Lepisosteus oculatus: one gene and its partners. The protein of the gene in region 1 purifies or fractionates together with the protein of each later gene. This does not show direct contact. Links are inferred from orthologs where the notes say so. Each region holds a gene or a part of one and is shown in the gene's direction. Other genes may lie near its edges.

The links.
Region 2: the proteins of ppp4cb (region 1) and cct8 purify together in Homo sapiens (affinity purification with mass spectrometry; 3 studies listed by BioGRID and IntAct, with this or other methods). This does not show direct contact. The link is inferred for Lepisosteus oculatus from reciprocal best matches to the Homo sapiens genes PPP4C and CCT8.
Region 3: the proteins of ppp4cb (region 1) and ptpa purify together in Homo sapiens (affinity purification with mass spectrometry; 3 studies listed by BioGRID and IntAct, with this or other methods). This does not show direct contact. The link is inferred for Lepisosteus oculatus from reciprocal best matches to the Homo sapiens genes PPP4C and PTPA.

What each region holds. Positions count from the first base shown.
Region 1 is NC_090699.1:2,941,050-2,948,267, reverse strand, and holds the start of ppp4cb (serine/threonine-protein phosphatase 4 catalytic subunit B), read left to right. Parts: upstream 1-4,143; 5' UTR 4,144-4,743; intron 4,744-7,218. UniProt on the Homo sapiens protein: Protein phosphatase that is involved in many processes such as microtubule organization at centrosomes, maturation of spliceosomal snRNPs, apoptosis, DNA repair, tumor necrosis factor (TNF)-alpha signaling, activation of c-Jun N-terminal kinase MAPK8, regulation of histone acetylation, DNA damage checkpoint signaling, NF-kappa-B activation and cell migration.
Region 2 is NC_090700.1:19,415,904-19,423,038, reverse strand, and holds the start of cct8 (T-complex protein 1 subunit theta), read left to right. Parts: upstream 1-3,953; 5' UTR 3,954-4,039; coding exon 4,040-4,099; intron 4,100-5,478; coding exon 5,479-5,569; intron 5,570-5,865; coding exon 5,866-5,945; intron 5,946-6,786; coding exon 6,787-6,936; intron 6,937-7,135. UniProt on the Homo sapiens protein: Component of the chaperonin-containing T-complex (TRiC), a molecular chaperone complex that assists the folding of actin, tubulin and other proteins upon ATP hydrolysis.
Region 3 is NC_090719.1:2,588,288-2,596,041, forward strand, and holds the start of ptpa (serine/threonine-protein phosphatase 2A activator), read left to right. Parts: upstream 1-4,572; 5' UTR 4,573-4,655; coding exon 4,656-4,680; intron 4,681-7,754. Other genes in the region: crata (carnitine O-acetyltransferase), read right to left, coding at 1,183-1,301, 2,222-2,500, 3,708-3,734. UniProt on the Homo sapiens protein: PPIases accelerate the folding of proteins. It catalyzes the cis-trans isomerization of proline imidic peptide bonds in oligopeptides. Acts as a regulatory subunit for serine/threonine-protein phosphatase 2A (PP2A).

The sequences.
Region 1 (7,218 bases):
GAGCAATGTATATGGGAAGATGGCAGGAGGCCACAGGAGTATTGGGACAGCAAGTTTTACTTGCCGAGTACCAGATTTTAATGGGTGGTTTGATCCCAGATCTATTGGGTTGAAATATTATGCATTACAAAGAATGACTATGCAGAACAGGGTATCACGTGGCTTCAACTGGCTGTGATCACTCAGTATGTTGATGGTATTCTGAGTGCTTCCCCTGACGAGGAAACCCACAAGTCTGAGTTGCTTCAGCTTTAGAGTGTCTAATAGAAGCAGTTATGATAAGGCCCTTTTGTGTCTAGCATTGTGAAATTTTAACAGGGCCTGGGTAATATGTTTTTTGCAGGGTGAGCACAACTCTTAACAGATCTGCTTAAGGGGGGAGTGCAGTACAAGGACAAGATTGCCTTGGTTCCTGCAGCAAAAGCCGCCTTTAATAATTTGAAACAAGTTCTCTTACAGGTGCTGAGACTGGGGTTTCCTCAGAGGGATCAACCATTCCTTTGTATTATTGCAAGTAGCTGACAGAGGCCACCCAAGGAGCCCGCGAGCAGGTCCTGGAGGCGTGGGGACCACCACCTGAAGGAGGGCACAAGCTCATCCCAGGAGAGTGGGTGTGGATCAGGAAATTTCCTTCACAGGTTCTCCAGCCCAGGTGGGATCCAGATCCTGTTGACAACCGAGTCTGCGGTTCGAGTGGAAGGAAAAGATCGCTGGATCCACGCGCCACACTGCCGACGAGCCTCATCCCCATTTACAGACTCAGAATGAAATCATTTCTGTTTATAACAATAATTGTTGCTGTAGGACTATGTTCCGCAGGGATTCATGATCATCTCTCCCACAAAGGAGAACATGGAATTAATTCCTTTTTAGGCCTCTCCTATCTGACAGCTAAGAAAACCAACCAAAGTGCCTGCTGGGTGTGTGCCGCATTACCCAAATATGTACAGGGAGGACTTCCTATGGGAGCCATTACTTGGCGTCGCGAGGAAGTCATAGGCATGATCATTTGGAGGGATAATTTAGGAGATTTTAATATGACAAACTATGGGGGTTGCCATAACACGACTTTAACCTGCACAACATTACAGTATCTACAGGAGCGAGGCTTAGAGCCCACGAGTTTCACAGGCTCTTACGCTCCTAAATATAACAGAAGCCATACACCACCATACCTGACTCTCAATAAGGAACGTGAGGGAAACATATGTTTTCAGCACACTAATTGGTCTGCACTTGGTTGGATGGAGTCGTTGCAACCTTACCAGCGCTGCAAATATATCCACCTCTACCTCCCAAATTCCAGGATGGGATCGGCACACCCCACAATTCGGTATAAGCTTCTTATTTTCAGAGGCATGGGGAGCGCCAAACGGAACATATTTCATTTGTGGAAAACGAGCCTACCCATGGCTGCCAGCCCAGTGGTCTGGCTCATGTTATTTAGGATATGTGGTTCCTCATATCCGTGTTCAAACCCACAGCCCCTTCGGACCTAACCACAGACCACAAAGAAAATTGGCTGATTGGGAATATTATTTAGGTATAATATTTCCACAAGCCGGCATGAACTTTCTGAGTCGAGAGTTAATTCAAATGGCCTCGACTTTAGAAGAATTAGCAAAGTCTACCTCATCTAGTCTGAAGGCTGTTAATGATGAGATGGTAGCCCTCAGAACAGTGGCCATGCAGAACCGACTAGCTTTAGATTATGTACTGGCGGCCCAAGGAGGAACTTGTGCAGTAATTGGCACTGAATGCTGCACATATATTCCTGATAATTCTGAGCACATCTCAGATCTGGCCCAACACATTTACAATGAGGGACAGAAATATCAGGACTATTATACTGAAAATTGGGGAATTGGGTTTTGGGTAAAGTCTGTGTTTGGGGCCTGGGGTGGAACCTTTTTATAGTGTTTATCTGTAGGAGTAGTATTGTTTATATGTATAATTGTAATCATCACGTGCACAAAAACATGTATCACATCTTGCCATAACCGTGGAACGTACAATGTCATGGCAATACATACCTGTTCGCCAAGAAAGGAAAGATCTGCCCTGACATTGTATGTATAAAATAGGCTACACTGACGTATGCCATATTTTATAAGGGGGGAATGAAGAAAGATGTGAAGACGGGGGTTTGAATTTAATCTTTTCTGTAGGGGGTTTAGACTTCCAAGTCACAAGCTGGGGTTTATGGCAGGAAAGGGGGTTCACTGATAAGGAGTGCAGATGCCAGCTAGGAACCCCCCTGGGTGTAATGTTAAACTGACCATTTGCCCAGAACATCGTAAACTGGCCAAATACCATGAACCCCCCTCTTTACCATCAGACCGAGTGACGTCAGAAACGGAGAAGAAGACACTATATAACCCAAAAGTTTGTAACAATACGGAGAACAATACTTCGGTTTTGTTGTTTCTTGCGGGAAACAAGACTTCGGCTTTATTGTTCCTTGCATGCAATAAACTCATCTGTTTCACTTCATCTCGGGATCAAGAACCTTATTTCTTCTGTTACAACAAAATCCTGTAGCCGGCAGAGGAATCCTACTCTGTTAGGCTCCTGAGCGAGGCCCTTCACCCCAACTGCTCCAGGGGCACTGTACAATGGCTGACCCTGCGCTCTGACCCCAGGCTCTCTCTCTGTCTGTGTGTCTCATGGAGAGCAAGCTGGGGTATGTGAAAAGATCATTCCTAATGCAAGAAATTGTGAAGGGTTAATAAAGTGATGATGTTGATGTTGTTGATTATTATTTCCTCTCTGGACAGCCAGGTCTGCCTGTGTCCAGTGTGTATTTCCAGGCTGTGTCTCTGAGCCTGTCCTCTCTGGACAGCCAGGTCTGCCTGTGTCCAGGCTGTGTCTCTGAGCCTGTCCTCTCTGGGCAGCCAGGTCTGCCTGTGTCCAGTGTGTGTGTCCAGGCTGTGTCTCTGAGCCTGTCCTCTCTGGACAGCCAGGTCTGCCTGTGTCCAGTGTGTGTGTCCAGGCTGTGGTCTCTGAGCCTGTCCTCTCTGGACAGTCAGGTCTGCCTGTGTCCAGTGTGTGTGTCCAGGCTGTGGTCACTGAGCCTGTCCTCTCTGGGCAGCCAGGTCTGCCTGTGTCCAGTGTGTGTGTCCAGGCTGTGTCTCTGAGCCTGTCCTCTCTGGACAGCCAGGTCTGCCTGTGTCCAGTGTGTGTGTCCAGGCTGTGTCACTGAGCCCGTCCTCTCTGGACAGCCAGGTCTGCCTGTGTCCAGTGTGTGTGTCCAGGCTGTGTCACTGAGCCCGTCCTCTCTGGACAGCCAGGTCTGCCTGTGTCCAGTGTGTGTGTCCAGGCTGTGTCTCTGAGCCTGTCCTCTCTGGACAGCCAGGTCTGCCTGTGTCCAGTGTGTGTGTGTCCAGGCTGTGTCTCTGAGCCTGTCCTCTCTGGACAGCCAGGTCTGCCTGTGTCCAGTGTGTGTGTCCAGGCTGTGTCTCTGAGCCTGTCCTCTCTGGACAGCCAGGTCTGCCTGTGTCCAGTGTGTGTGTGTCCAGGCTGTGGTCACTGAGCCTGTCCTTGCACAGAGAGTGGTGGGAGTGTGGAACGAGCAGTTGATCACCTGCCAGGCTCGTTCTTTCTGCGCCAGCACCAGCAAAGGGCTTTGTGCCTGCTGGCCCGCAGGGGAGTGTGTGTCCATCTGTCCAGCCTCTCCCTTGACAGACCCCCCTCGCTCCAGTTTGTACCCCACTCTGTACCCCAGGGGTGTCAGCACCGCCTCCTCGCCTGCAGAGAGAGGAGACCCCTCCAGTTTGTACCCCACTCTGTACCCCAGGGGTGTCAGCACCGCCTCCTCGCCTGCAGAGAGAGGAGACCCCTCCAGTTTGTACCCCACTCTGTACCCCAGGGGTGTCAGCACCGCCTCCTCGCCTGCAGAGGGGCTGAGGCTCAGCTCCGGCGCCTTTCGGGCGGGCTGACGTCATCCCAGCCGCGGCGGGCGTCCCCCCCCCCTCCACCGCCCTTGTTGCGTCATTTCCTGCCCCCTGCCCGGCACGGGGCTCGCGCCTTGAGGTTGGCGCTCCGGCGCCATCTTGTGGTTGTTCTCGCCCGTGCGAGCAAGAGCGGGGAGAAAAAACTTTTTTTTTAACGTGTTATTGTTGTTGTTGTTGTTGTTTTTAATTTTTACCAAAATGGAAGAAGGGCTAACTAGTTAATACTAACAGGGCTGTAAGGATGAACACCCCTGGCTTTTCTTAAGCAAAACAAAAAAAAAAACCTCGATTTTCCTGCGTGCTCCGTGACTTATTAAGGAATGGGGTTCAGGTGGCGCTTCAGGCCCGAACCCCTGAACCTCGAATGAGCGACCTCGTTCCCTAACCAGCGCTGCTGCGGGCTGTTAGCAATTTCAACAGGAGCCGGGGGGCTGCCGGCGGTGGCGTCGAGGACCAGAGCGCATATAAGAGGGAGGAGGCGGAGGAGCCGCTGAAACCACAGCCCGTCGGCCGCCGCCGCCAATAATCCCTGCTCTTGCGCGTCCCCGGACGAGTGCCCGTGCCCGGGAGCGAGCCTCGCTCCCGACACCGGAAGCCCTGCGTGCGCGCCGCCGCCGCCGCCGCCGCGCGTCCCCGAGGGCGGAGAGGAAGCGGAGCTCCAGCCGGCCGAGCGCAGCGGGGAGACAGACGCGGATCTGCGCACGACCGGCCTCCCGACTCCCGGACAGAGACGAGTCCGCTGCTATCGGTGCTGCTGCTGCTGCTGCCCTGCCGGCCCCTGGACGCCGAGGTAAGGCCGCTCCCCGGGGGCCGAGGGGTTTCTGAGCCGGTTTGTGTGTATTGGGGGGGCTGGCGGCGGCGGCGGAGGCGCCGGGCCCGGGGGGGGTCGAGTCGCTCCCCGCTCCCGGGCCGGGCCGGGCCGCCGGGCTGGAGGGCCGCTGCTGGAGCGGAGCGGAGCGCCCTGGGCCCCCGGCCGGGCCGCGGCGGCGAGCCGGGCCCCGGCGGGGGGACAGGCCGGGCGGAGGCGGCGAGGAGGCCGAGCGGAGTCGCTCCAAGATGGCGCCGTGAGGCCGCCCGGCTCGCGGAGCCCCGGGGCGGGAGAGCGCGGGAACGCGCGCGTGTACGTGTGTGTGTGTGTCCCGCCGCCGGGACTGGACCGGGCCGAGACTGGACCTGCAGCCGAACCCGGACGAGCCGCTGCCGCCCGGCTGTCTGTGAGACGCGGTGTTGTTTACCGGGGGGTGGACGGGCGGGCCGGTACCGGTACTGGTCCAGGGAGATGGGGGCGATTATAAGGATTCAGGGACTGTCCTGCACCGCAAGTTCCGTTTTCTGGACAAACGTCGGTGGTTCCGACGAGAGAGAGAGGAGCCGGGCAGCAGGGTGTGTGACGGGGGATCTGCCGTGCAGTGGTCGGGGACTGGGGCTGTGTTGATCCGTCGTCTTGACTCGCCTGCCCTGCAGAGCAGATTTCTCCAGCCGGGACAAAGTAAACAAAGTTCCTGCGGCCCGTCTTCCTGGGTCTCACCCATTCACTCACCCACAAGTCTCACCCATTCCTAGTGAGTGTTCAGTGTTTCTGGGGTCTGTGTGTCTGGAGAGCCCCTCACAGCGCAGGGACTGGTCTCCTCTACCTGTGAGGAGCCCCTGCTCTCCTGCTGGGGTCTGTGTGTCTGGAGAGCCCCTCACAGCGCAGGGACTGGTCTCCTCTACCTGTGAGGAGCCCCTGCTCTCCTGCTGGGGTCTGTGTGTCTGGAGAGCCCCTCACGGCGCAGGGACTGGTCTCCTCTACCTGTGAGGAGCCCCTGCTCTCCTGCTGGGGTCTGTGTGTCTGGAGAGCCCCTCACAGCGCAGGGACTGGTCTCCTCTACCTGTGAGGAGCCCCTGCTCTCCTGCTGGGGTCTGTGTGTCTGGAGAGCCCCTCACAGCGCAGGGACTGGTCTCCTCTACCTGTGAGGAGCCCCTGCTCTCCTGCTGGGGTCTGTGTGTCTGGAGAGCCCCTCACAGCGCAGGGACTGGTCTCTACCTGTGAGGAGCCCCTGCTCTCCTGCTGGGGTCTGTGTGTCTGGAGAGCCCCTCTCAGTGCAGGGACTGGTCTCCTCTACCTGTGAGGAGCCCCTGCTCTCCTGCTGGGGTCTGTGTGTCTGGAGAGCCCCTCACAGCGCAGGGACTGATCTCCTCTACCTGTGAGGAGCCCCTGCTCTCCTGCTGGGGTCTGTGTGTCTGGAGAGCCTCTCACAGCGCAGGGACTGGTCTCCTCTAACTGTGAGGAGCCCCTGCTCTCCTGCTGGGGTCTGTGTGTCTGGAGAGCCCCTCACAGCACAGGGACTGGTCTCCTCTACCTGTGAGGAGCCCCTGCTCTCCTGCTGGGGTCTGTGTGTCTGGAGAGCCCCTCACAGCGCAGGGACTGATCTCCTCTACCTGTGAGGAGCCCCTGCTCTCCTGCTGGGGTCTGTGTGTCTGGAGAGCCTCTCACAGCGCAGGGACTGGTCTCTACCTGTGAGGAGCCCCTGCTCTCCTGCTGGGGTCTGTGTGTCTGGAGAGCCCCTCACAGCACAGGGACTGGTCTCCTCTACCTGTGAGGAGCCCCTGCTCTCCTGCTGGGGTCTGTGTGTCTGGAGAGCCCCTCACAGCGCAGGGACTGGTCTCCTCTACCTGTGAGGAGCCCCTGCTCTCCTGTTGGGGTCTGTGTGTCTGGAGAGCCCCTCACAGCGCAGGGACTGGTCTCCTCTACCTGTGAGGAGCCCCTGCTCTCCTGCTGGGGTCTGTGTGTCTGGAGAGCCCCTCACAGCGCAGGGACTGATCTCCTCTACCTGTGAGGAGCCCCTGCTCTCCTGCTGGGGTCTGTGTGTCTGGAGAGCCCCTCACAGCGCAGGGACTGGCCTCTACCTGTGAGGAGCCCCTGCTCTCCTGCTGGGGTCTGTGTGTCTGGAGAGCCCCTCACAGCGCAGGGACTGATCTCCTCTACCTGTGAGGAGCCCCTGCTCTCCTGCTGGGGTCTGTGTGTCTGGAGAGCCCCTCACAGCGCAGGGACTGGTCTCCTCTACCTGTGAGGAGCCCCTGCTCTCCTGCTGGGGTCTGTGTGTGTGTGGAGAGCCCCTCACAGCGCAGGGACTGGTCTCCTCTACCTGTGAGGAGCCCCTGCTCTCCTGCTGGGGTCTGTGTGTCTGGAGAGCCCCTCACAGCGCAGGGACTGGTCTCCTCTACCTGTGAGGAGCCCCTGCTCTCCTGCTGGGGTCTGTGTGTCTGGAGAGCCCCTCACAGG
Region 2 (7,135 bases), on another chromosome or scaffold:
GTTACTCCTCATTTTCTGAGTAGAGACAATTTTGTTTGAATACAAACTGTCATATTAAATGTTCCAGAACAGAAAGTTTCTCAAAGTAGGAGGGACCTAATTTGGCTCCATTTGAATTTGTGCCTGTCAAAATTAAACTAACAGCTACATCTGAAAATGACAATATTATATTTGAAACAGATCAAAATGAATGACTGCAAGCTGCCAATGCCAACAAAGCACTGTAGCAGTGAAAAATTATTTAAAAAACACATGCTCGCTAGAGAAGGCAGGAACTACTCTCTACTAGAAGCTGAGAATGAAACTCAGTAGGCACAGAGCAGCACAGTATTCTGACACTTGATTAGAAATCAGTAGAGTTTCCAGTTCAGGAGAGAAGATGCTTTGTGTTAAACATTACAGGCACATTTTGGGTGAAAGTTAACCAGATACAATAATCTATCATGCCATGGTTTATTTATACAGTATGTACTTCAATAAGGGTCCAATAACAAAAGGATAAAGGCAATATTAATTCACACTGACTTACCTTTAGGAAGTCAATCCTAAGGGTGAGGTAAAACCAGGGCCAGCCTTGTTTGCCTTGCTCTCCTACAAACAAAAGATCTGACAGCCAACTGCTGTCAGCACTCATAAGTTAAGACCAGAGATGGGTAAAGACTGCATATTGCTACTAACCGTCCTTTCTCTGGTGTATTTCTAAACTCTAGTCTCCCTTCTTTGTGGGTGAGCTTTAGATTTTGTCTTCGGTTTTTGATGGGAATGCCCGTTTATGCTCACAAGGATGTCTTGAGAGAAACCTTCTCACGAAGGGTGCTTAGCAAGCTCTTCACTGCACACAGTCAGTCGCCTCCGAACATGTTCACATTGAGATAGCTTACAACACAGACAGCGCTTGGCAGCTGAGGGACGTTGTCGGCATGCCCCTGTCTGTCAGTTGGGTTCCAATTAAATTGCTCAGATGGCATGACTCTAGACACGAAAAATGCCTCCAGCTCCAATCAGCTTTGAGTGACATAGTTGTGCTGGACTGAACGCAATAACTCTGGAATGATGCAGTGTACCAGAAAGAGGCTGCCTAATTACTTGGGCACAACCTTAACCTTTGCAGTGCAATGCTCCCTGCTGACGCATTCGGCATATAAAAGAAAAGGACCAGCTGGATAAAAATGTTTTTTTTTTAAATAAAATGTAAATTAATACTACATAGAGGAATGGGCTAACAGAAGCATTGCCTTTGACATGGTATGATGACCCAGAAAAAAAACAAACTGAACATAAACAACAACAAGAGAATATAAGGCAAGTTCAGATCAAACAGATGCCACAGGACTCATCCATGTCCAGTTGATTTGATGCATGGACAATCCAGACATGTAATAGTTGCTACAGTAGTTAGGAGGGAAAAAACACTCCACAACTAATCCTCTGATTACATTGATCCTCATGACTGCATCACATTTCTTCTTCAAGTGTCTTGCCGTTTCGTTTTAAATAATTCAGTGTTATGTGCCATACTTAAAAGCTTTCATGTTTGCTGTAAAACTCTTCCTTCTCCCTTTGTTCTGAGGTTGTCTTTCTTCCAAGGCTTTCCTCTCTGGAACCTTTAAAAATAATTCTCCACTGCCCTCCTTGTGCTACAGTATATGCCTTTTTTACAATGTATAGAGCAGGTTCAGAGTTTCCATAACATGATAATTTAAGACTAAATTAAGGTTATAGACCACATACTGTAAATAGATACCAAACGGCAGTACCTAGTGAGAATGATGAGAATACGACGCAATCCAGAGAACTCCGCTCTTGCAGACAGACTTGTTTAGCATAGTGTATTGACTTCAGCAAGCACTAAACTGAAGATACTGCTGAGTTCAGAAAACATTTAGGATCATTTACACATGACCAGAGCTGGGCAGTGTTAACCTTTACTACCAAACAGTCAGAAATTACAATGTGTAACTATACATGCAGTAGTGAAGAAATGGTGGCATAGTGGTTAGTATTGCTGCCTCAGGGATCCAGGATAAATTCTGGTTGCATGCCATCTGCAAGTTCATGTGGATTTTCAACAGGTGCCCCAGTGTACTCCCACCTCCCCTCGACATGTTGGCTAGGATTGATTGGCTACACTAAATTCTCAATTTATGGTGCCGTGCTAAGGAGAGTGCAACAAGTACTGGTTAAGTGACTATAGAAAGAGAGAACCAAACGAGCTCAGTGGGCTCTCATTTGTGACCTTTTCTGCTGTGTTTAATTGACTGTTACCAATGTTGCAAGTGCTACCTTTAAATCCAGGTTAGGTGTTTTATGACAAGGTCCATGGTCCTTTGAATGGTCCACCAGTTCTAGTTGGGCCATGAGTCACTGGATATGTACCTACAGTACAAATAAAAATTACACTAAATCTGTTTGAGAGTGATGTCTCAATTGACTGATTGAAGTGATTATGTGCATAAAATTAAGTTAATACTCAAGATCATTGACTCATCAGCCTGCATCTTATCCTAGTTATTATGCCTTTTATATGTATTTATACAGTATGTAATACATGACACCCCTATCTCACGGGAATCATCAGAGATACCACTCTTTTAAAATATTGTCCAACTTCACTAATTTAAAGTCATAGATTATCATCAGGCAATATAAAATACAGATTTTAAAGAAGAAAACATAAATTAAATCAAGAGGGTACCCACCACGACATATTTGCTTAATAATGGCTAAAGCACTTTTCTCTAAGGATTAATATATAAGTAGTTCAGGTGGGTAGCTGCATCAGCATGCGCAATCTGCAAAGGAGCAAGTAATAGGTTTATTCCATGCTGAAAAGAGAAGAGAGAAAACACAACACTTCGGCAGTGGAGCCTTCTTCAGGTGTCATCATGTGCCACACTTTACACCCGAAGAAGACTCCACTGGCGAAACGTTGTGTTTTCTCTCTTCTCTTTTCAGCATGGAATAAACCTATTACTTGATCCTTAATATTGTAACGCAACGGGGGCTCCGGCGGGCGCCCTTGCCGCATTAGGTCGGCCCCTGCACCGTCCGGGGCTCGAACCCGGGACTTCCGCGTCTCTCTGCAGCGACCTAGCCCCGTGAGCCAAAGAGAGATCTCTCCACAGCCCAGTAGCTGTGGTCCTGCTATCACAGGGAAGGGCGGTGACGTCACCCGCTCTGGTACGCCGGCTCTTACACAGCGCCTGTCGGCCGTAAGCGTTACACTCTCCCCCGCTTAAATCGCCGTCCCCGGCGAAGGGCTATCCCATCCCACTTCTGACACCAATGTAACGCAACGGGGGCTCCGGCGGGCGCCCTTGCCGCATTAGGTCGGCCCCTGCACCGTCCGGGGCTCGAACCCGGGACTTCCGCGTCTCTCTGCAGCGACCTAGCCCCGTGAGCCAAAGAGAGATCTCTCCACAGCCCAGTAGCTGTGGTCCTGCTATCACAGGGAAGGGCGGTGACGTCACCCGCTCTGGTACGCCGGCTCTTACACAGCGCCTGTCGGCCGTAAGCGTTACAATATACAAGTGTTTCATTCCTTGTTACAAATACAGCATATCACCCATTATTAACAAAATAGTTTACCTATTATGATTGTGATCATATTCAAAATGTACGGTGAGTAGGGACACCTTTCAATGAATACACATATGGACGTTTAAATTATAAGAAAAGCTTTGAAGATCACTAAAACAATTTAATAAAATAATACACATGGCATTGCTCTTTTAAAATTACTTGTATGCCTTTTTAAATAACGTTTTTTACAAGAATAAAAAATATTAATAATGATGGAAACGAAGTAATCACGAGTGTAATCTACCATCAACAAAAACAGGTAGATGTTAATCCCATGATGAAAAGTATACGAGTTGACGCACATCCACAGGTTCAGCCCACTACCAGCTACAGCGATGAACTCGATACTCGATTTACTTTTCCTGCTCCGCCTTTGCTCGTAGCTCGATTGTTCTGACTCTCCGCACACGCACCGGTTCTTTTTCTGTCTGTACCGGGGAGCAAAACCACTTGAAATATGGCTCTTCACGTACCTAAAGCTCCGGGCTTTGCCCAGATGTTAAAGGATGGTGCAAAGGTAAAGAACATTTAGTCATCTGTTTTGAAGATTAACCTATGTATGACCTTTTATGTCCAATTTTGTATCAATTGCAAGGGAAGTGCGGTTGGACGCTGTGTCATGTGGGACACTTCTAGAAAAAGCCTGTGTAGGCCACAGTTAGATTAGTTCATCCTATTGTGATATATAGCATTCGTTTGCTCGTTTTGTACGGGCTTTTTGAAATTGTAGGTTGTTGTGGCACGAATAACTCGTAAATCATAACTTATTAAACGATCTTGCAGCATATTTGTGTAATCAGTGCCTCTTTAAGCATTTTCTGTACTGTAGCTAAATGCAGTAAGACGAGGGACATGTGCTTTCTAACGGCAGCCGTAGTGGAAATCATTCATTGACGACACTCCGTTTTTACCCATACATGGAGATATTTCGGGAGCTGCCATTCGGTGTTAAAACAGCTCTCGAACAGGAATGTAGCTAAAATCCGTAGTATTATTATTGCTAACGCTTTTGTTCATGGAGGAACAGTTAGTACCAAGCATACGCCAGTTGATTTTCATGAACTGAATTTTCCGAATTCAGACTAATTCGGATTTATAATAGAGAAGGGCTTGTTTTAAAATCGCTAGACGCTTCTGTACTTCAAGTAACAATTGTATATACAACACAAACGTATTCGGCATGATGCTACAGGGCGTTGCCAGGCAAAGTTGCCGTAACTGTTGTCAATTCTACAGCAGTGTCGCGGCAGTAGACTCGAACTCAAAATTGTAATTGAATCTATGGTAAATGCTGGGCTTATTGTTTTATCACTGCTATTTCTGGAAGCATTGTTGTTTAACGTTAATGCAGTCTGATCACAGGTGATAAAGATGGCACAAGCAGTACAAAGCCTAATTTGATTTAAAGTTGTTACTCTATGTAAAATAAATAATTTACAGGAATACATGCCTGCAGCCATACAGTAGTTTGTTTATACACACTTTCATGCAGTTACTCTAGTTCAGGAGACAGCTATCCAAATGTTAACATCAGAAATAATTGCTTGACACATGGCAGATGTGTTCAGGGGGCTGAACTACCTCTGTGTGGAAGTGAACAATATATGCTTAGTACTGTTAGGTCATCATTGGTTCCATAACCTGTTTTAGTGGAATAATTAGGCTCCATGAACACGGCACAGTCTGTATGGAATGTCCCATATACAACAGTATAGACATAGCTCTTATTTGCAGTACTTCCCAAAACAAATATTGTATTGTTAGTAAATGTTATGGTGATGACAGTGAAAGGAGTGGCATTCACAGATGCAGGGCAGACCAGATCAATTTTCAGTTAATCATTAGGCTAGCTGTTTTAAATAAGTTGTTTTATTTTTTAAAACCTGTTCATTTCAGCACTACTCTGGGTTGGAGGAGGCAGTCTTCCGAAACATTCAGGCCTGCAAAGAGCTGGCACAGACCACACGGACAGCCTACGGTCCAAATGGTAGGTCTGGACTGTGCTTGTCAATATCAGATGTTTGATCAGTGCCCAATACAATATTACAATAGAGGTTGAGTCTATTTTTTTATGAGATTCTGTGATTTAAGACCTACATGGATAATGAATAATTTTGAAATGTTTTTTAAATAAGAGATGTGACTGGGTGTACTACTACTGATTTGATATTTTCAGGATGTGTGTTTAATGCTATAAGCCTACAGAAAAGTACACATAAATATTAATCTATAGGAATGCAGAATTCTGTTTTTTAATATCTGGGCCTTTTTACTTCTTTTCAGGCATGAATAAAATGGTCATCAACCACTTGGAAAAGCTCTTTGTCACTAATGATGCTGCAACTATTCTGCGAGAACTTGAGGTATTTAGTTCATTTTTGAACCGCCTTAATTCCTAATTGTTTAACTAGTGTTTTGTGAGAAAAGCCGAAGACAGAGATCAGCAGAAACTTTTAATTTCTTAATGATGGATCTCCAACTCTGGTTATGTGGAACCCAGTCCAAAAGTTTTTATGGGTAATATTCCTAAAGGTTTGGAACAATTTATCTATGATCAATTAACAAGGCGGTTGACTTAATTAATTTAGATATCATTTTGAACAAAATCAGAATATCTTTTAGCCTGTAAGGACCAGTATTCCTTTTTTTAAACCTTTACTGTCTATGTAGTACTTCACCCTGTGGCTTAAATATTTTGTACTCTAGCAGAGAGTGTGCTACTGCTGTCTCCATCATTGTATGTCAGGCTAGGAATACGTAAAATAATATATGAATAAAATAGGTAGTCTTCATGCTATAGTTGTAAAGGCAGAGGAGTTGTAATGGTGAAATCTAAAAAAAGACAGGGATAGTACCCATGAACTGTAGAATAGTGCCCATCAATAAGACAAGTGCCCAAACCGACCCAAATAATTATAGATCAATTAGTCTGAATTCTATTACATGTAAGGTTATGGAATTAGTTATTAGAATTAACCTAGAGGATTACCTATATGGAATATAGAGTCCTTTGAACAAGTATCAGAATTAATGAAACACATGGAGCATATAATATTTAGATTGGTAAATTTAGATTGTCAAAAAGCTTTTGATAAAAGTCCCCATTGCAGGAGAAAGGTATTCAGTGACATGTGTACAGTGTGAGAATTGGAGAAGAAACAAGGTGCATAAGATCTTTTTTTTGTTTGTTTGTGCACCCACCAGGTTCAGCACCCTGCAGCTAAAATGATCGTCATGGCTTCCCACATGCAAGAGCAGGAGGTTGGGGATGGGACCAACTTTGTTCTGGTGTTTGCTGGGGCGCTGCTGGAACTGGCAGAAGAGCTTCTCAGAATGGGACTGTCAGTGTCTGAGGTGAGCCTGTAGAATCACTCACTTTCCACTTCAGTTTAGGACGTGAAGTACACATGTAATACTAACATGTAATAAGAAAATAATTTCTTATTTTCATTCCTCTGTTTTGTGGCCTGGGGCTTGTGAGCTGTTTGGGGTTTTGTTTAAAACTGTTCCGCTGTATAGGAGTACAAGGAATTTAATGTCTTTTTCAATGTAG
Region 3 (7,754 bases), on another chromosome or scaffold:
AGAACAGCTCATGCGCTTAAAATAGTCAACTGTGTGAGAGGTGAGCCTGTGCAAAGGTCATGGTCTGTAGCTCTGATTAAACAGCTTCCATGGCTACTGCTGGCAGAGGGGACGACAAACAACACCCAGGCAATTTCCATCCTTCAAGTAGAAACGGGCTTTATTAATGCCCTCCCTTTCCCCCAAAGGCGAGTGACTTGTGAACTAATGTTTATCTTAACGCCTGTCTTTACTGAAACAGCAAAACGTGAAATCATTTCACGGGCAGGAGAATAAAAAGGAAACGTAATTAATTCGATGTGGGGGAAAAAACGCAACAGCTGAAGTGCATTCATCAAAATGGGACACTAAACTAGAGGAAGACGGCGCATGTGTGAATACATGTCATTGTGCTGAGAATTCACGCTTTCCAACATTAAAGTTCAACTTGCAGCGCCTTTCACTGCCGATCTCTGGATGCTGGCTCTCTCCTGTGCCCCCAGTAGCAGGAGCTTGGTTCCTGACACTCTGGGGTTGCCATGGTAACACCGAGTTCAAGCGAGAGATGGCTCAGGAATGAGGCTAAACCTCTGTAGCTTTAGCGTTGCGCACTAGTCCCTGGCTCAGACCTAGTCTTAATTTCTCCAAAGAACTGACTGAAATGAGGAGAGTCTAATGTCGAACCAAGACAGGCAGCAATTTTAAGTAGTCACCTATAGTTTTATGCACCAGGCCTTGACTAGATTAGTTAAAAACCTGGGCAGTTTTTTTTTTACTTTAGATCCCTTCAGAAGAAATGCCTCTCAACGAGACAAGGCTCCTACTATGATAAATAATGCTAATTAGCTCAACGTGAGGAATTCTTAAGAGCCCCGAGAGCACTTATTAGGAAACTGCTTTTTAGGCTGGGGAATGAAGAACTGTCCTTCTCTGTGAGGAGACCCACTGGGAAATGGGAGCCAGCAAGAGCAGAGACCTTTTCTTTTTATTCTATATGATTTTCTTCGCGTGACTGAGGTCTTCAGCAAACTGGAAACCAGGAATGATAAAGAAATATCAAATGAAACCATTTTGCAATTTTACTTTGGAAAGATGGGGGATGGAGAGACAGGAGAAAGGCCGCAGAGAACAGCTCGTCTGCCCAGCCCCCCCACCCGGTCCCACCCCCCTCGCCCTTTTGAACCGGCATCCTGTTGGACTCACCGTATCTGTCCCTGGCGATCGTGAAACTCTGCACGCGGCAGGACCACCCCAGGGCTGGAGTGGATCACCACAGGCATCCGGTACTCCAGGTAGGCAGTCTGGAGCCACCAGTCCGAGAGCTGCAGGGAGAGACACACACACAATCAGGCCCCCCCGCGCACAGTTACAGTCCGATATCTCTCTGCACACCAGCTCACAAACAGTCACAGCTAGTCTTTCGTACAGGCAGAGCAGAACCAGAACTCGGTTCGCCCTTGATCTCGGTTCTGGCCCGGCGTGTGGTAGAATGTCCTACTCTTGTTACGACTGCCAGAGAACAGACCGGAGCGCCGAAGGGATGTGCACCATGAGAGACGCAGAAAGCACGAAGCGACTGACCCTGCAGTCCCCGAGAACGTGCTACTTATAAGCCCTGATATCTTAGAGTCGTTCACCTCTGAGCTTACCCCCAGTTAAAACGAAATAAAGAACTGCATCAGAAAAGCTGAGCCAGGAGGCTTTTTTAATTTCATTCATCCAAAGATATCTGCTACAACACAAAAACTACATGTGCTGTGCAAGATCTGAAAACCTGCATCATGCCACTGTTCGACAGGGAAGCCTGAAATCCCTCTACATCCATCAGTTCATTATCAGAGATGACCAGAAAGCCGATTATTCCTGGTGAGTGTCGGCGCAGCCTAGGGGGCAGGAGACAGGACTACACCCTGGACTGGCCCACCACAGGGCAGACACACGTGTACATACAGACGCGCACACTGATGCACACATTGACGAGCACACTGACGCACACACATGTACATACAGACGCACATATTGATGCGCACACACATGCACAAACATATGCACAGACAATTCAAGGAAACCCCCGACCCAGCCAGCGCATCTCTGGAAGGAGGAGGAAACGGAGGCTAACAGTTTAGCGTTATTAAACTTGCGACTTATCGAACGCCTGGACTTCACCCGTCTGAAACGAGGGAAGACGGGAGGACAGAGGGCAATGCTTCGAGGCCTGCTCAGGACGTCCAGCTGCACTGACCCAGTTCTCCATCTTGCGGGCGCGGCGCTCCAGGCCCCTCTGCAGCCTCTCGCCCACGCCCCCGGGCCGCTGGAAGTCCTCGACCAGGCCGCGGGTGTGCTCCAGCTCCTCGGCGCTCACGACGGGCCGCAGGGCCAGCAGGTAGCGCTCCAGGGTCTGCCGCAGGGGCGGCACCGGCAGCTTGGGGAGCCCCTCCTGGTGCGCCAGGTACCGGCCGGGGATCCGGGTCACCGACACGGGACTCACCAGGGCCGCGGGCTTCCACGCGGCCTGCTTAGCCTGCAAAAAAAAAATTCCATTCCATTCAATTCAATTCAATTACTTTTAATATAGCGCCTTTCACAACAAGGTGGCCCCAAGGTGCTTAACAAAGCCGTGCGACGGTACATAACGTCGTAATACAGAAAGAGAAGAAGCCAGAAGACAACGGAGGAGAGGAACCAAGACCTCCTCTGGAAGGAGAACAACACCCCCTCTGGGGGGTCAAAGGTTAACCGGCTGCCCAACCCCAAAAACCAAGTTATGGGGGTGACAGTCCAGTTTCCCCACCCAGAGGCGAGACCCTCCCCCCTCCCCGTTAGAATCCCGGTTCCTCCAGGGAGATAGCAGCTGTTTCACTGCCGGGGGGGATTTTATTTTCAAGAGGACTTTGCCACACGCTCGCAGAAGAAATCCCGACGTCGGCCCCGGATTATACATTAAACACTCGCCCTCTGGTCTTGCGTGTCCCCATTTGGACTTTGGACAGAGAGTTTCCAGCAATGTGAATCCTCGCTTTTAGCGACGAGGTGCAGAACAGCTCCCACACACACACACACGCACACGGGTGGGCAGGACACCCGACACCGGCGCGAGCCACAGCAGGGTTCGAGACCGAGGACCTGGCACACCGCACGAGAACCATAAATAACATCCCGCAATAAAAAGCGACCCTCCCCCCCTCACAACTTCTAAAAAATAACCTTCACATGTTGTTAACCGCCAGTACAATGCGACGTTTACGACACGTTATTAAACGCACAGTCGTTGGCAACAGCGATATTAAAACGACGCGACACGGAGCTGCATTCAAACTGTACACAACTGCGTGCAACTGTCACTGGGTTCAAGGCACTGGACAAACTCCCTCCTAGAAAGAAGAAAACGACGGGCTAGTCAATTATTACGGAATATTACAGCCTCGAGAACCGCGAAGGCTTCGGTTAAATACCACAAAATGTACCATGTTTGCGAGTTGCGCAGAAAAGTCGGTCTGTCACAGCTCCGAGCCTCTTACAGTGGCGAGTTTTCGCGAGAGACGTTACCGCAGCTACGTTGTAAACACAGAAGAGCTCTTTTTGAGTTTTTCGCCCCTTTCGTTTTCGCTTTATAAAGCCGTTTTCTAGCGCTGAAAACGCCTGGGATAAATTCAAGCGACACAATCCACATTCGGAGATGTACAAAATAAGGAACCCCCCCGCGTGTCTTGCGTGTCGTGCTTACTCACCATCGCTCTGGCTAAAAAACCCAGCATATTTCGCAGAAACGCCCCCAAAGTACAGGAGTGACCGGCTCTCTCTGGCTGTCAAGCTTCAAGGACGGGCAGGTTACAATGCTGCACATTACCCTCCTGTTGATAAAATGTGCCCCGCAAAATCATGGACAGCCAGGGCTCAACTTGCCCCGCAATGACGCAAACATCCGGCGACTTCGCTTCTGTGACGCACAATACATTCGACCTGGAGAGTCGTGTTTTTAAAGCTAACCGTCCAGTATTGAACATTGAACTTTGTTTTTGTCCCTGTTCTAGATAATTTAGCAGATGTAAATGGATATTTCTTTTTTTTGGGGGGGAGGGGGGGGGCGTGATGGGAGATTATTTTAACACAACCAATAATACGATGCACCGTTGCTCTCATAATATTTTACAGAAAAATACAACTTTCTCCACAAAAATATCAGTAACTCAAAAAACATTTCAGGAAGCGTGGAGTAAACACGTGTTCCATGTACGTAAACACCTTTATGAAAATAAGTATTTTATATATTGCATTAATAGATACAAGTGTTGTATGCAAAAATTTAATATGGATTTTTTGCAAAGGGTGCAAAACATTAGTGTAGGTTTAATATATTGAATATCTACTGCATTTCAGCACGTCCTACAACAATTTAAAATAGTGACCCTACAGTGCTGTAACTGTATCTTAGGGCTTCGGAAAGGCCTCGATTTCACTCCTCCGAGACCGTGTTTTTACCCCCGCAAGAACGTGGTTTCCTCTCAGCACACGGTGCTAAAGCGGTGCAGCTCCACTGTTCCTAAAATCTCTGAAGACAGAACGAGGCGACGCCGGCGCTCTGCGGTGCGCTCGCGGCGTGTGACCCAAAACAAAATACGACACGGGTCAAAGGTGAAAGGTCGGCTCGCCCGTGCTGCCTCGCCTCTCTTGGAAACATGGCGGAGACCGAGCAGTCGTCAGGTAAGCTGACGGCTCCGTGCACGCCGGGGGCTGTTGACAGGGAGGCGCGGGGGCCCTTGTCAACCCTCAGTGGGCCGTCCGGAGGAGGGGGGGGGTCTTCAGAAATAAAGGGAAACTTTTAACCCCCTCCTACCACAGAGTAGTACAACTGCAGCCGAAATCGACATCCCGGCGGACTGGGATCTCCTTCGGCTCCGCTCTCGGGTTTTTTTTTTAAACGTTTGGCGGGGGGCACCTTTTCTCATTTCCCCGCCGAGGTGGGGTTTCCGGGGGCTCGCCTGGAAGGGCTGTCGCCCAGGGAGGGTGGAGGGGAGCCCCCCCAGCCCCCGGTTCTCGGGGCTAGGAGCCTGTCGGTACCGCCTGCATCACCGGTCCGGTCTCCGCGGGTGTTGCGGTTTCCTGGGAATGAAAACCGACAGGCCACTATTCGGCTACCTTAAAATGCGTTATTTGTAGCGGTGGCCGGCAAGTAATTTTTTTTAAATCGTTTAGAAACGCGGTACGTACGTTTAGCATCAGCGAGGAAGTGGCCGCTAACCAACGAGGAGAGAGAGAGACTCGGAGCAGCGCCAGCCGCCTTAATTAAAAAAAATAATAATTCACTTTTCACGAACGGCGACTTCTCGTCTCTCTCGGAGCGAGTTTTTCCAACTTTTTTTCTTTGCCCTGTGGTAGAAATGAAGCTAGTTGTTTTACGAGGCAATGAGTTCATCGTTTGCTTGCGAAATCGTGGACCTGGGCTGTATTCTTGAATGAAGTTGGAGGTTTTTAAGACCTAGCTCGTAAACGCACCCCATCACTGTCCTGGACCGACGAGTGTGTCCGCGTTGTGTTTTGGGGATGTGCTGTCAGTGTCCCACCGAGAATGGGAGATAAAAACAGTGGGCACGCCAACAAACGTTAAGAAAAAGCATTTGCGATTGATGTAACTGCCTCAGAAGACTGCTGTTTGACAGTGACACTGTGCTTATTGTGTGCATTGGACAAGGCTGCACCGTATTACACAACAATCATACGTTTGATTTCATCTAGTTCCCTTATTATGTACACAGCTACTGTGCTTGACTTAGTGGCAGGAAGGACCTGCTATTGTGGACGTTTGATAATGTCTAAGCAAAATTTATTACCAGCATTTTGTACAGGAGGTGAGCCTGGGACAAATATCTAGTTTGGAACTAAACGTAGGTGACTTCATGCAACACTCCACTCAAGATGCAGCTCTTTCACGGTTAGGGACGGTTGAGATTGTTTCTGAACGTCGGCAAGTGTTTTGGGTTTTTTTTCCTGGATCAAGGGCTTTGTTTCGCCAAACCAAACCAGAAATCCTGTTGTTTTCTCGCGTGCAGGAGGTGACAGCTGTGGTTTGGTGTCAGAGCTGCAGGGCGCTTTGTGTCTGATTTCCTCTCGCATGCGAGAGACGTGTTGGTCTCCCGATGGGAGAGGGGTGTCTGTTTCTACAGCATCAGGGCTGTATCGGTCTAGCCTGTCTGACAAGCCATGGCTGTTGGATCATGGGCCAGTGGAAACGCTCCCAGGAACAGAATCGGAATAAGATTCCCTTGTCATGACAGTTCTCCACAATAGTTGCTTGCTGAACACTTGTTGTTGGGTTGTTTGGGTCCTCTTATTCCTCTGGTGTGTTTGTGCAGGCCCACGCTCAGTTCCACAAAACACCTTATCCTTGAATTTTCCTTGAGTTTGTACCCGAAATCTCTTTTTGTCTTTCTTGCTCAAGGCAGGTTTGATGCCCGTCGTTGAGTAAAGGTGTCCTGTTTATTTCGTTAGGTGTTCAGTCCTTAAGGTGCTGTATGCTGCCCAGGTCTGATCCCTTGTACCCAGAAGAGGGGAGTGGAGGAACACTGTGTCTGTGGGTCTTCATGAGCTCTACATCTCCAGTGCTGAGTCATGACTTAAGTGATTTGACACCTTGTTTGGACTTCGGTTTATCTTGTGGGGGGGCGTGTCCGTTTCTACAGCGGTCGTAGTTTTTGTTGGATCGGGCTGCATCAGTCTGGTGCCTCGGTTTCCGAAAACGGCTCGCAGCTGGATCCGTGACTGCTGGATCATCCTCTCTGAGTGCCCGCTGCTTGCTGGGGTTCTGAGGACGCAGAGGAGGGAATGGCGCCGGCCCCCTTTCCTCAACTGAGGAGAGAAAACATCACTGCGGCGGTATATTGAAAAAAAAAAAGAAATGATTATTTTGCAGTGGATTCGATGAATCGGGAGGCTGTAGGCTGAACTGCTAGCTGGGGAGGGTGTTGCCCTCACACCAGCACATTGGGAATTCTGGCCCTGTAACTCTAATACCGAGCTGCTCTGCACTTGCCAATCTTGCCCCCCCTTTAATGCATGTCATCGAGCGTGCCAAAATAACAGAAGGAATAATAAAGCTCATATTTTATTTATGCGTGTTGGCGATCAGGTTCGCAGCCCTAAGGGGCATGCATTTTGTGCGTCACCTGCCGTTTTGAAAGCGACTCCGGGGTGGAAGTTACGAGTCCCCCTTTGTTATGCAGCTGCGGTGGACTGGTGTCGCGTTCAGGCTGTGTCCCGCCTTGAGCCCGAGGCTCCGGCTCCACTGCGACCCTGGATTGCATGAAGCAGATCGGAAGTGGGTGGATGGAGGTCGCGTGGCTGACTCGCACTTTGTCAACCTGCCTTTCTTTCTCTGTGCCACGTTCAGCTCGACGCTCTCTTCCACAGACTGCCCCACACTGCCAGACTCTCACTCCTGTACCAGCAGTCAGAGCTCCCTGCGACTCACCACTGGCAGCCCCACTGGAGCTCAGCAGGTGTGAGCCTGGCCAGTACCTGGATGGGAGACCTCCTGGGAAAAACTGAGGTTGCTGCTGGAAGAGGTGTTAGTGGGGCCAGTAGAGGGCGCTCTCCCTGCAGTCTTTGTGGGCCCTAATGCCCCAGCAGAGTGACGGGGATACTATGCTGTAAAAAAAAAAGGCACCGTCCTATGAATGAAACGTAAAACCGAGGTCCTGACTCTCCATGGCAGGGCACTTCTAGAAAAGAGTTGGGGTGTTACCCCGGCATCCTGGCTAAATTTCCCCCTGGCCTTTACC